3 linked regions of the Neurospora crassa OR74A genome follow. The protein of the gene in region 3 purifies or fractionates together with the protein of the main gene of each other region. This does not show direct contact. Links are inferred from orthologs where the notes say so. Each region holds a gene or a part of one and is shown on either strand. Other genes may lie near its edges.

Region 1 (4,284 bases), on a different chromosome or scaffold from region 3:
CAGTTGGTGGGCTGTTGAGTAGTCAAGATAGTCGGGGCGTTGGAGGCACGGGGAGTCTGGGAGTTTGCGTGGGCGGGCGTTACGAAACACGGTCTGGACGGGCTTGAGGTAGACGGTGGCGAGGGTGCCGACGTTGAGACACATTTCCTCGAGGGTGACGGGGTCGAGACGCTCCGACTCGGCGGTGATGGCGGGTTTCTCGCCCATGACGATGCGCTTGGCGGATTCCATGTCAGTCGAGAGGAGACGCCAGTACATGTAGGCGCGGTCGCGGAGGTCGGGGTTGTCGGTTTCTTCGGTGGCCCATTTGAGCACGCGCGGGACGAGGTCCTGGCCCTTGGTGGGACGTTGGATGAAGAGCTTGACGGTTGCTGTGAGCAGGGCGAGCTGGACTTCGACGGGCTCTTCGGCGAAGGAGTACAAAAAGTCTTCGAGGAGGGCGTCCGAGTTCTCGATACGCGAGGCGTACTGGCCAATGACCCACACCATGGCTGCTTTGGCTTCGGGCTCGTCGAGCGAGTCCAGGTGCTCGCAGAGGGTGCCGATAATGGACTCGTACTGGTTCGGGTACTTGCGGAAGATGTTGCGGATCACTACCGTGGCTTCTTGCACGATGTAGGTGACCTTTGTGGAGACCAACTCGAGCAGCAGGTTGATGCATCGCTTGGCCGCTGGCTCAATCTTAATGGCCAGTTTGCCGATGGCGCGGACAGCCTTGCGGACAAAGTGGACGTCGATTTCGGTGGCGTACTCGCGGAGTTCCGTCAAGACCTCGTCAATGTTCTTCTCATTGGCGAGCATGAAGATGAGTTCGAGCTTGGTGACCTTGACGTAGATGGGGTCGTTGTACTTGCAGAAGAAGACGCGGATGTCGTTGCGGAGGACTTCGGGGCGGCGTTGGAGGATGAGGAGGGCGTTGCGCAGGGCGAGGTATTGCACTTCGGGACCCTTGGCGAGGAGGGTGACCAGTGGTGGGGAGAGTTTCCGGCAGAGGGCCGAGATTTGCTTTTGGTCGGAGATGTAGTTCATGAGGTAAAGGATCACACGGATACAGGTGAGGACTACCGACGAGTTGGAATGTGAGAGGCGTGGGGCAATACGCTCGGCGAGAAGGAGAGCTTCGCCGGATTCTTGGGGGATATAAGACATGAGGGCTTCGAGGATGTAGGTTTGGCCCCATCTGCTTGCTATCAGTAGACCGTACTTGTGTTGCAAGGGGGATAACCTACTCGGAGCAGTCGGCCAGAATGGCAACCATCTTGGAGGCATTGCTGTAGTCGATAGTGAGTTTGATAGCATCACTCCTCTCCCAGATATCCATCAAGCTCGCCAGGGCACTGGCCACCACTGTCGGGTTGTCGTCTCTCAAGAGGTTGTTGAGTCTGTCAATAAGGTCCGAAGCCTCAACCATGTGTCGATCGTGATCGTAGAGCTTGGCCACGCAGAAAGCCGCCGTCTTGCGAACGTAGGGGTCGATATCGCGGAGGAGGTGCTTGACTAGTGGCACAGTAGCCTCGACGAACTCGCGCACGTGGATATAAGACATGGTCCGTAGGGCAAGGGCGCGCACCAGGGGGTTTGGATCTTCCATGTCCTGGTCTTTGTCAGTGACTGGCTATATCGCACAAAAAAAGGTGGACGTGGTTGGTGACTTACATGTTCCAGAACCGGAATTGCTTTTACCGCAATCTCTGGCTTCATCCTCGCATAGTTGACCAGATACAAGAAGCACATCTTTTTAATTTCCAAGCTCTGGATGGCCATGCAGGCGACAATATCGGGAAACAAACCGACCATGTCATTGTTACTCATGGTCATGTTGGCGACAATCTTCTTGAGGGCAATCTTCTTTTGGGTAAAGTTCTTGTCCTTCTTGCTGCCGCTGTTCAGCTCGAGGCGTAGCTCAGCTACTTTGCCCTGTCGAGTCTGTGGTAAGCTAATGTTCGGCGGGATAGGGTATGCGACAAACATGGTGGCGGTGGTCATTGCGGTCATCAAGGTTCGCGATGTTGAGGAGAAACAAACAAGCAAGCAAGGGAGGGGGGGGGGGGATACAGGAAGGAAGCTGAGCTGGGGTGGTGGATGGGAGGAGGGGTGGTGGTGGTGGTGGTGGTGGTAGACAAAGCAACGGCATATCCCGAGCAGCGTAACATGTGTAATGATATATTTCATCTTACCCTCGCGAACAGCTTGGAGTCTCCTCCTCCTTGTGCGGCCGACATGTTGTTGTTGGCTGCTTGTAGAGTATAGTATTATCGTCCACAACCTCCTCACAGCTATTCCTGTTTTGGTCGATTCGAACCCGGTGCCGAGGAATGCTTGCGATGCAACGAAAATAGGTTCGATATCGACAAAATGGACGAATGGCAAACGAGCTCGGCGCGGGCGTAAGGTGTGGTGGGTGGTGTGCTAGGCAAGGAAAATGCCCCTCTGGCTCTGGAACACAATTATATGTTTTGTGATTATCGTCGAGTCGAGAACAGCCAACCAATGTAACAACAAGCAGGTGAAACAGGGTGTCACAGGCACTCTTTCTGCTGCTTGTCCTCCTCTTTATTTTGTAACTTGGAGGTTGAGGCAGATAATCCAATGTCCGTCGCGAAGAAGTTCCCGAGTGCTGGAGTACTAATGGAGATAATTGTCGTCGAAGAAGGATCGCGATGTTCGTCGTCGTCGTCGTCGTCGTCGTCCTTGTCGTCGTCACTCTCTCGGTAGGCTCGGTGAAGATCTGTTCCGGCGCAAAGTACCCTCCACTTTCTGTTGTCGCTGTACTGTACGTAGTTGATCGGGATGAAACAGCTTCTAGGTACGGTAGTCTTCAGCCAAAACTCCAACGAGCCAGACAGACAACGGAAAAGATGATGTTTAGTTCAAATCTTGACTCGCCGGGGGGGGTAACGATGGAAAATAATACGGGTTCAATTCTGTTCACCGGTCAGGTTGGGGCGTCCCCTGAACCGTCGGGTCGATTAATTACGGCACCTCCTGGTCAGCGATCGCGGACCCTGCAGACCTGGACCTGCCGCTTTGGTGCCGTCAACACTGAACGCCCACTGGACGACGCCCTTCTGCCAGTGAACGACTGGCACGCTTCAGTGGAGCTCGGTAGCATCATCAACAGCGCACGGTCCCCACCACTCGGCGGCCAGCGTGGGGAAGCGGCTCAACTAAGTGTAGTGGGGCCCTGCGGTGTCTCAGAGACCGAACGGGAAGTGGAAGTCAGGGACGGGCAGCTACCTTAGCGAAGCACGGACTCCATCACGTACACTACACTACACTACACGTTGGGCGTCATCGCAATCCAGCTTCCACCTACTTCCCATTACCAATACCTTCACTTTCTATAGACGATACATTCACAAAGCCCGCCATGACTGACCTCAAACCCGTTGTCGACCCCGCCCCCAGATGGGTAACCGACCTCGCCAACCCACCGCCTTACAAGTCCAAGCCTGCCAGCATCCCCGATCCCCCAGGCTACTCGTCGCAAGCCGTATCTGGTTCTTCCAAGGCAAGCAACTTCCCATTACCACGAATCATAGCCCCCTCGCTGACATGTTTACCCCTACAGAAGAAGGATGTCTCCCGCCCCGCCCCCCGCGAACAACCCTCCCCCGAAAAGATGGACCAGCTCAAGCTCAAAAAGGCCTGGGAAGTCGCCCTCGCGCCCGCCAAGAACCTGCCCATGACGCTCATCATGATGTACATGTCCGGCAACTCGCTCCAGATCTTCAGCATCATGATGGTGTTTATGGCCTTCAAGAACCCCATCATGGGCTTGTTGTCGACCAACCAGGCCTTTGAGCGATTCGAGACGGACAGCAACCGGGGGTCTATTCTGCAGGTGAAGGCGGCCTATGTGCTTATGCAGGTGTTGGCGCTGGCGGTGGGTGTGTGGAAGATTAATAGTATGGGACTGCTACCGTCAGTTTTATCCTTGGGGAGAGTGTGGTGAAACGAAGGCTAACGTGGTGAATACAGGACAACGAGATCCGACTGGCTTGCTTGGGAAGTGCGCAGGGAACCGCTGGAACATGCTGTACCAGCATTGTCGTTATGAGACCTCGAACTTGATGGACGATGGTAGAGGGAGACTGAGTCTCAACTTCGCGGATACTATACACGTTCGAAATATGCATATCACAGCGATTGGTCTCTATACGGCAGCAACTTCTTTTGTAACCATTGGCTATGGATGTCGATATGAGTACGCCTTTGCATGGACATCACTTGTTATCTCTAGCTTGATACGTTGGCTGTACAAGAGACCGGGGCCATAGAAGT
Region 2 (4,448 bases), on a different chromosome or scaffold from region 3:
CAGGAGGCTCAACGTATCGTTGCCCATTGTTTTCTTAAGTGAGGGGATATTGGGAAAAAGGCCAAGGGGAGGAACGAGACCCAGAGTAAAAGATGAGAGAAAGATGCGGATGGGGTTGATATCTTTCACGACACTCAGCAATGACGACGACGCACAATAAACGCGGTCCAGTTCAAGATTTGGGGAATGCCAAACCAGACTGTCGACGCTGCGGAAAGACGGCCGCATTCCTCACCTTTTCTACCTACCTGTCTGGTCCTAGTAGTTGTGATGGTGACTCCGGGATCAAGTACGCTTCGTCCTTTCCGCGTCGTCATACTTGGTATATCCGTTGGCACTTGATCGATAACACATCGACGAGACGCAAGCGCTCAGATCGAGACGGAGCAAAACAACAGCCTGTCTTTCGTCACACGGTGGAAGCTGGAACGACGGCAATTATCGAGTCAGAAACGGTGATGGTGAACACTAACTGACACTGACAAGCTGGCAGGGCTGTATCGTGTCCGTAAGACTGAATCACTATTTTCTAAACCGTTGCCTAGAGAGGCAAAACCAAGCGAATAGATTTGGTCCTAGGTGCCTCTAGAGTTGCGAAGAATGAGCCACGGCTCGATGGACCAAAAAGCGCAGAAAAATCCGGAGTTCAAGTTCGTTGGTTCGCAAGGTCCTGGGTGCTAAGTAGGCGGCCAACTCCAGTCCAAGGCCACCGGTATCAGGCCTCTCGAGGGACCTGTTACTATGTAAGCACATTCCCGTTTCAGCCATGCTCGATCGTATTAACAGGACAACAGGAGATGAGTTCAAAACATTTTTCCCGTGTCTCTTTCTATCATCGGACAAGCCATTCCCCTGGTGCTGTTCCAGACCATTCCCTTCACCAGCACCCATGGTCTGGTAGTTTCATACAAAGCTGATTGGCGACATATCCTATCGCTTGAAGTTTAGCTCTCCATATCGCACGGCCCCATGTCCTATAGCTCACTGCCACGCGTGCCACGTATTATCGTGCCTGTCCCATACACTGGCGAAGAGCTTTTCGTCGTTTTGTGCTCGTCGTAACGTTGTTGTGACCCTTGTTCCCCCTTTGGGACATCTCCTTGTATAAGTTGATTTTATTACTCTGGTATCAATCGCCTGATGCTTCCCTTCGTGTAACTAGTAACGCCCAGACGCCGTGCTATTATATGCCGTAGGTGGTAGGATGGCCCGTGCATTAACCGGATAGGGTGTGTAGTCGGTGGCGCACGCCATTACGTATTATACAATAATTTAGAACCTGTGAAAGTATTAGCGAAATGCATTGCGCCGGTAAAGGAGACAGCAAAGAAATCGGAGAAGAAGAACAAAAAAACGAAAAGAACGGCAACCTACCTAATCTCGTAGCTTCCTGCCCTTGTCATATACCTCACCCACTTCACACTCGAGTAGTTGCTCTTTTCGAACACCTTAAGATAGCGAACCAGCAAGCCAGAGCTGGTAAACATCAGCAAGCTAAAGTTCATACTGAGTGGCGGCCTGCTCCAAGCCTTCTGGTTTGTCATGCTCGTAAGCTCGGCCTCGGCGCTCAGCACAAACTCGCTCTGTCCAGCAAAGCGACCAATCTTCCACACAATCACGTTCTCGGACGGCTCGTACTTGGCCTTGCCCTGGGTACAGCGCTCCGTGATCCTGGCCGTGTTGAGCGGCGTGGGAATCTTGACGACCACGTTGGTCGCAAATAACTTGGATCCAAAGTTGGCGCGCACACCGATGCTGTATTCCACCTTTGTCTTGCCCACCTCGTTGACAATGGCGTGCACCTTGAACGGCAGGTTGACGTTCTCGGTTGCGCGGTACCTCATCAGCTCGAACTCGCCGTCGGGCGGAATGAAGCTGATGATGCGGTCACTGTCAAACTTGCCCAGCTTGACGCACTGGTGGAATTGGCAATCTTCGAGCGTGACGCTGCCGGCCGCGGCCTTGGTCGCCTTGCTCCCCATCCTGTTGCCGCTGGGCAGGCTCATGAGTCCGTCCTGGTCGAGTAGGAGGCGGTCGTTGAGACCGAACTTGCACTCGGGCGTGCCGCTGAGGTAGGCGCGCATGATGATCTGGCCGTTGACGTCGGCGCGCAGGACGGAGCCGGTTGCGCTCATGAGCAGGTTGACATCTTCGATTACGTCGACAAAGGCTTCGTTCTTGCGGTACTTGACATCGGCCTTGCGCCAGGATAAAGCGCCAGTAGCTTGCATGGTGATCTTGGCGGAGTCCTCGACGGCGCGCTCCGACTTGACGCCTTCGGTTGTGATGTACATCTTGAGAGTGTCGGTCTCGGTGTTTTGGGGATAACCAAAGTCGATGATTTCTGTAAGGGCGCGGCGGACATAGAGTTGAGGTTAGTTGCAAGCCGCCATCTAGAAACACCAAAAAGGGGGGCTACCGTAGGTGGGACATACCATCCAGGAGCTCGTAGACCAGGACAAAGTTGTTCTTGACGGCCTCCTCGTCAAACTTGCCAAAGTAGCCGCGACCCAGCTGGATCAAGCGGTAGAGGAACTCGAAGACCAGGGCGGCATTGGCGTTACTACGGGTGATGGCGACCAGGTAGATGTTCTCGTGCTTGACATGGCTGAAGGTGGTGCTGCCGAGGGTCAAGATAGGGGATCGGACCTGGGCGTTGCTGATGACCTGGATGCGGAACACGTCCGCCAGTCGTGGGCGGCAGTCATTGCGGAAGGCTCGGAAGATGAGGTTCTCGCCCTTTTGGTTGAAGATGAGGATCCCGGACAGCATCGTGACGGGTGTCGTCGGGGGGAGAAGAAGGAAGGTAATGATTGAGAGTTGCAAGTCGAGTTGGCGACGGGCGGCGACGGCAGACACGGGCGGGCAAGTTTCAATGTCAAAGGCGGCGGGCGGTCAGGAACAGCAACCCGCGTCTACCTCTCTCTACACCCCATTACTAGGTACCTGCGTGTGCTGTACCTAGGTGTTGAGCGCCCCGACTAGTGCCACCTGAACGGCGGCTCTTCAGGGGATGGTGGACGCTACGGGGGCGCGCGACATGGGTGCCCTGCTGGGGAGAGGAGCCTGCCGCTCTGAGCTGTGTGCCAGTCTCCGTCCTGTCGCACCCTACGGCAGGCAATAACCGAGCAAGGTAGGTACATCATACCTTACTCCTGCCCTAAGCGTTTAGGAAACACAGCAGCGAGGCCTGATGGAAAATTGTTAGTGACACACGCACTGCGCTCTGCACCAAGCAACGAGGTACTTTGACAACGAAGCCCCTTTTCGTGGCACTAACAATAAACAAGGAGCACGTCTACAACTCTGCGCCAAGGGGAAAAAGGATGGGCAATACGACATCTGAGGAGCACGACATCCTGCTTCATCCCACCTACGACCACTTCATTATTTGGAGCTTCAGGAATTTTCAAGGCGACATGTAACGGTTCCTTTTCATTGCAGCATACTATTTAATCGAGTGCTTGATAAGTCCCCCACCACTGTCATGACTCATAACATCGTACACTTCAACTCCCAATTATAGGTAGGTATTTCAAGCATCTGTCTTCAAGATGGCCCAAAGACATCCATCGTAGCTCTTCTCGCCCACAGTCTGCATGACCACCGACTCAACCCTCGTGTCCTTGGCCACTCCCTCGACCAGAATCCTGCCCGCCGTCTCCCTGGGCTCCGTCAAGCTCTGATCAATCAGCCTGCCTCCGCGCACCACGTTGTCCACGCAAATCATGGCCTTGGGCAGCGCCATTTCCACCGCCAAGTTGAAGTAGTTGAGGTTATTTGGCTTATCGGCATCGATAAAGAAGAAGCCGAACTTGGGCCTCTTGCCCTCTTCGATCTCCTTCTTCAGCTGGTTCAACACCTCCAATCCTGATCCCTGAATAACCTCGATTCTGTCCGACAAACCCGCGTACTCAATGTTCTTGCGCGCCACCTCAACGTGGTGGGGGTCAAACTCCACAGTGGTAAGCTTCATTTGCGGGTTCTCGCTGGCGAGCCAGATGGCCGAGTAGCCGCCCAAAGTGCCGACCTCGAGGGCGTGTGTGACGCCCAAGACGCGGCACTGGAGAGCCATGAACTTGCTCTGAGCCGGAGAGGCCGAGATGTCGGGCAGGCCGGCGGCTTTAGAGGCATCAAGGGCGTTTTGGAGGGCTGAGGCGTTGGGCTTGCTGGAGGGGTGGAGCTGGCCCATGGTGTAGCCGTCGACGGCGGTCCAAACGTCGTTTTGGACCCAGTTGTGGCCCTTGTTTTCGAATTTGAAGTTGCCGGTAGACATTTTGATAGTGAGATGTAGTGTTTGTGGTGCTAAAAGTGATTGTGGTGGTGAAGGGCGTCTCGGCGGCGGGGGGGGGGGGGGGCGGGCTTGATGAAGAGGTGCTATTTGGCAACGGGGTAAGTGAAAACTTAAAGAGTTAGCAAGGAAAAGGTGGTCTAAATACCTACCTGTA
Region 3 (2,180 bases):
AAGCGAGCTCTTTGAAAAGAACGGAACCGAAGTGCAGTGTTGTTGTGACTGGAGAGAGAAAGAAGAATAGAGGTTGGTAACTTGAAGCTCCCAAGGCGGCAATGGCAGGGGAGTGGTGTTTGCACACGCAGTAGAAGCTCACGTTATCACTTATCACTGCGGTGAAAGCCCGCCGTCTCAACGGTCAAGTGATGCAACCGCAATCACCCACCCGACCAGCCGCTGATGAGCAACCAGAGTGATCGGCGCTAATAAACCTTAGCTTAATGGGTTTGTTCGTTAGCTCGAGACCTCTAGTCGACTTGTGTAGGCGTTTCAGCAATAACTTAATGTACTTGATATAATGATTGAGAGTTGTATCTGACATGAAAAGTTGAAGACAGATACAGAGAGTTTGTCTGGCTATAGCTGGTCTATCTCCAAACAACATTGTTGCGTTTGTAATAGGTTGGACAGTATCTTCCTCGGGGTACAGAGCTAACAAACAAACCAGCATTATATGTAGAGCTCGGACCATACGATCACGGCTCAGTGGGGCCAGCGGGGTACCATTTCTCGCACCTTGCTGGCTGCTGCAGTCTGACGTCCACGTCTGTTCACTTGTTGGTTATCGCCTTATCAGCCCGGGGATGGAATACAAGGAAAGTCCACACACAACACTCAACGCACACTCCCTACACCATCATGGAGTCCTGTCTTCCCTTGAGGTTACTTCCATATCAACATTATTCTTTGCCAGATATACTACCTTCTAGCATAATGAACTCTCTCATCAGCTCCTCCTCCTCCTCCTCCTTCTCCTCCTCCTTGGTGCTGCCTCTTGCAAGTTTCGACAGCCAGATAGACAATGACCGTCAACAAGTGCAGTTGCACCTCCGGTTATTACTATAATACTACACCTTTCGCTGACTTCGGGCCACACTAATCACATGTGTGCCCTTGGCTCAATGACTTGACCCGGTACTGTAGGTAGTCGCTGACTTTAATCAGTAGTCTTTTGACCTTCGACCACCACCCCTGACCCCTCTTAATCACATACACTACCGCCATCACCCACCCACCCCCTTATTACCTAACCATGATATTCCTAAACGACTCGGTAATGTCGCTCGCCGTCGGGGGTTCATATCTCTCCGGGCGAATCGACACACCCTGCGAAAGGCGTTCCTCCATCATCTTGAGCAACACGGGCGGCACCGTCTCATCCGTCGCTCTAATCGTCAACCGAACCATCTGTACACATTTCATCGTGTATTAGCATTCCATCCCATCCCATGCGTCAAAGTTGAATAGAGAGTGAGAGAGAGTAAAAGAGAGAAAAAAAAAAAAAAAAAAAAAACTCACCTGAGTCCCATAGTTAGGCTCCAACCTCATCAAACATCCAAACTTGCCTCCCTCGCTCGTATGCACCACACTAGCCCCCACAAAGTTCTTGCTGTTGGGATCAACATTATACAGCAATCCCCATCTGAACCCCTCCAGCACCTGGCGAATGAAACTCTCCGTAATCTCCCTCTCCCCATCCTTGGGCCCAGAGAGTCCAAAGATGCGCTGAGCCTCGCGCGGTGCGCCGCCAATCTGCTTCCACCGCTTGAAAAAGTCGTCAGCCGACAACTCGGCCTGGTCCATGAACTTGTGGATGACGACGGGCAGTTTCAGGGTAAGCGCCTGCAGAGCGCCAGCCAGATACGAAATGCGGACGGTGGGCGCCTTCTCAAACACGCGCTTGGCTTCAAAGACGACGACCTGCTGCGTTTGCGCGCCCTGGTAGATGGTGGTTTCGGGCATGCTCTTGACGTCCCAAGACAGGTTGGCGCGCTCCGAAGGGTCCAGATCGAGCGTGGTGGTGAAGGAGCCGATGACGGCTGGTGTTTTGTTGGTGAAGTAGAGGATGATGGCCGCCATTTGGCCGCGATATTCGGCGCGCACGCCGACCTGGATCTGCCCGTCTTCGAAGAGAATGCCGTCGGCGCGCAAGAGGAGCCGGTTGAAGCCCTTCTCCCACCCGGGAGACAAGTGAGCGGCGCTGGCGAGGTTGGGCGCCTTAATGACTTTGGCTTCGGCAGGACCGATGTTGTTCATGTCGAGACCAGCAAGGTCATTGGCAGATGAAGATCCGTTGGTGGCTCCGGCGGCCGGGGCAGCACCGCCGTTGGCTGGTCCGGTCTTGGTGCTAAAGG

Evidence for each region.
Region 1: the proteins of NCU03440 (region 3) and NCU05232 purify together in Saccharomyces cerevisiae (affinity purification with mass spectrometry; 3 studies listed by BioGRID). This does not show direct contact. The link is inferred for Neurospora crassa OR74A from reciprocal best matches to the Saccharomyces cerevisiae genes APL3 and APL1.
Region 2: the proteins of NCU03440 (region 3) and NCU09673 purify together in Saccharomyces cerevisiae (affinity purification with mass spectrometry, with the first as the bait; 4 studies listed by BioGRID). This does not show direct contact. The link is inferred for Neurospora crassa OR74A from reciprocal best matches to the Saccharomyces cerevisiae genes APL3 and APM4.

What each region holds. Positions count from the first base shown.
Region 1 is NC_026504.1:5,672,376-5,676,659, forward strand, and holds the start of NCU05232 (AP-2 complex subunit beta), read right to left. Parts: upstream 2,952-4,284; 5' UTR 2,223-2,951; coding exon 2,178-2,222; intron 1,918-2,177; coding exon 1,657-1,917; intron 1,595-1,656; coding exon 1,230-1,594; intron 1,181-1,229; coding exon 1-1,180. Other genes in the region: NCU05231 (ER membrane DUF1077 domain-containing protein), read left to right, coding at 3,371-3,511, 3,572-3,924, 3,982-4,060. UniProt on the Saccharomyces cerevisiae protein: Adaptins are components of the adaptor complexes which link clathrin to receptors in coated vesicles. Clathrin-associated protein complexes are believed to interact with the cytoplasmic tails of membrane proteins, leading to their selection and concentration.
Region 2 is NC_026505.1:874,859-879,306, reverse strand, and holds NCU09673 (AP-2 complex subunit mu-1), read right to left. Parts: upstream 2,885-4,448; 5' UTR 2,773-2,884; coding exon 2,436-2,772; intron 2,345-2,435; coding exon 1,375-2,344; intron 1,280-1,374; coding exon 1,273-1,279; 3' UTR 411-1,272; downstream 1-410. Other genes in the region: NCU09672 (extracellular cell wall glucanase Crf1), read right to left, coding at 1-27; NCU09674 (O-methyltransferase family 3), read right to left, coding at 3,536-4,276. UniProt on the Saccharomyces cerevisiae protein: Component of the adaptor complexes which link clathrin to receptors in coated vesicles. Clathrin-associated protein complexes are believed to interact with the cytoplasmic tails of membrane proteins, leading to their selection and concentration.
Region 3 is NC_026502.1:711,281-713,460, forward strand, and holds the end of NCU03440 (AP-2 complex subunit alpha), read right to left. Parts: coding exon 1,345-2,180; intron 1,234-1,344; coding exon 1,069-1,233; 3' UTR 613-1,068; downstream 1-612. UniProt on the Saccharomyces cerevisiae protein: Adaptins are components of the adaptor complexes which link clathrin to receptors in coated vesicles. Clathrin-associated protein complexes are believed to interact with the cytoplasmic tails of membrane proteins, leading to their selection and concentration.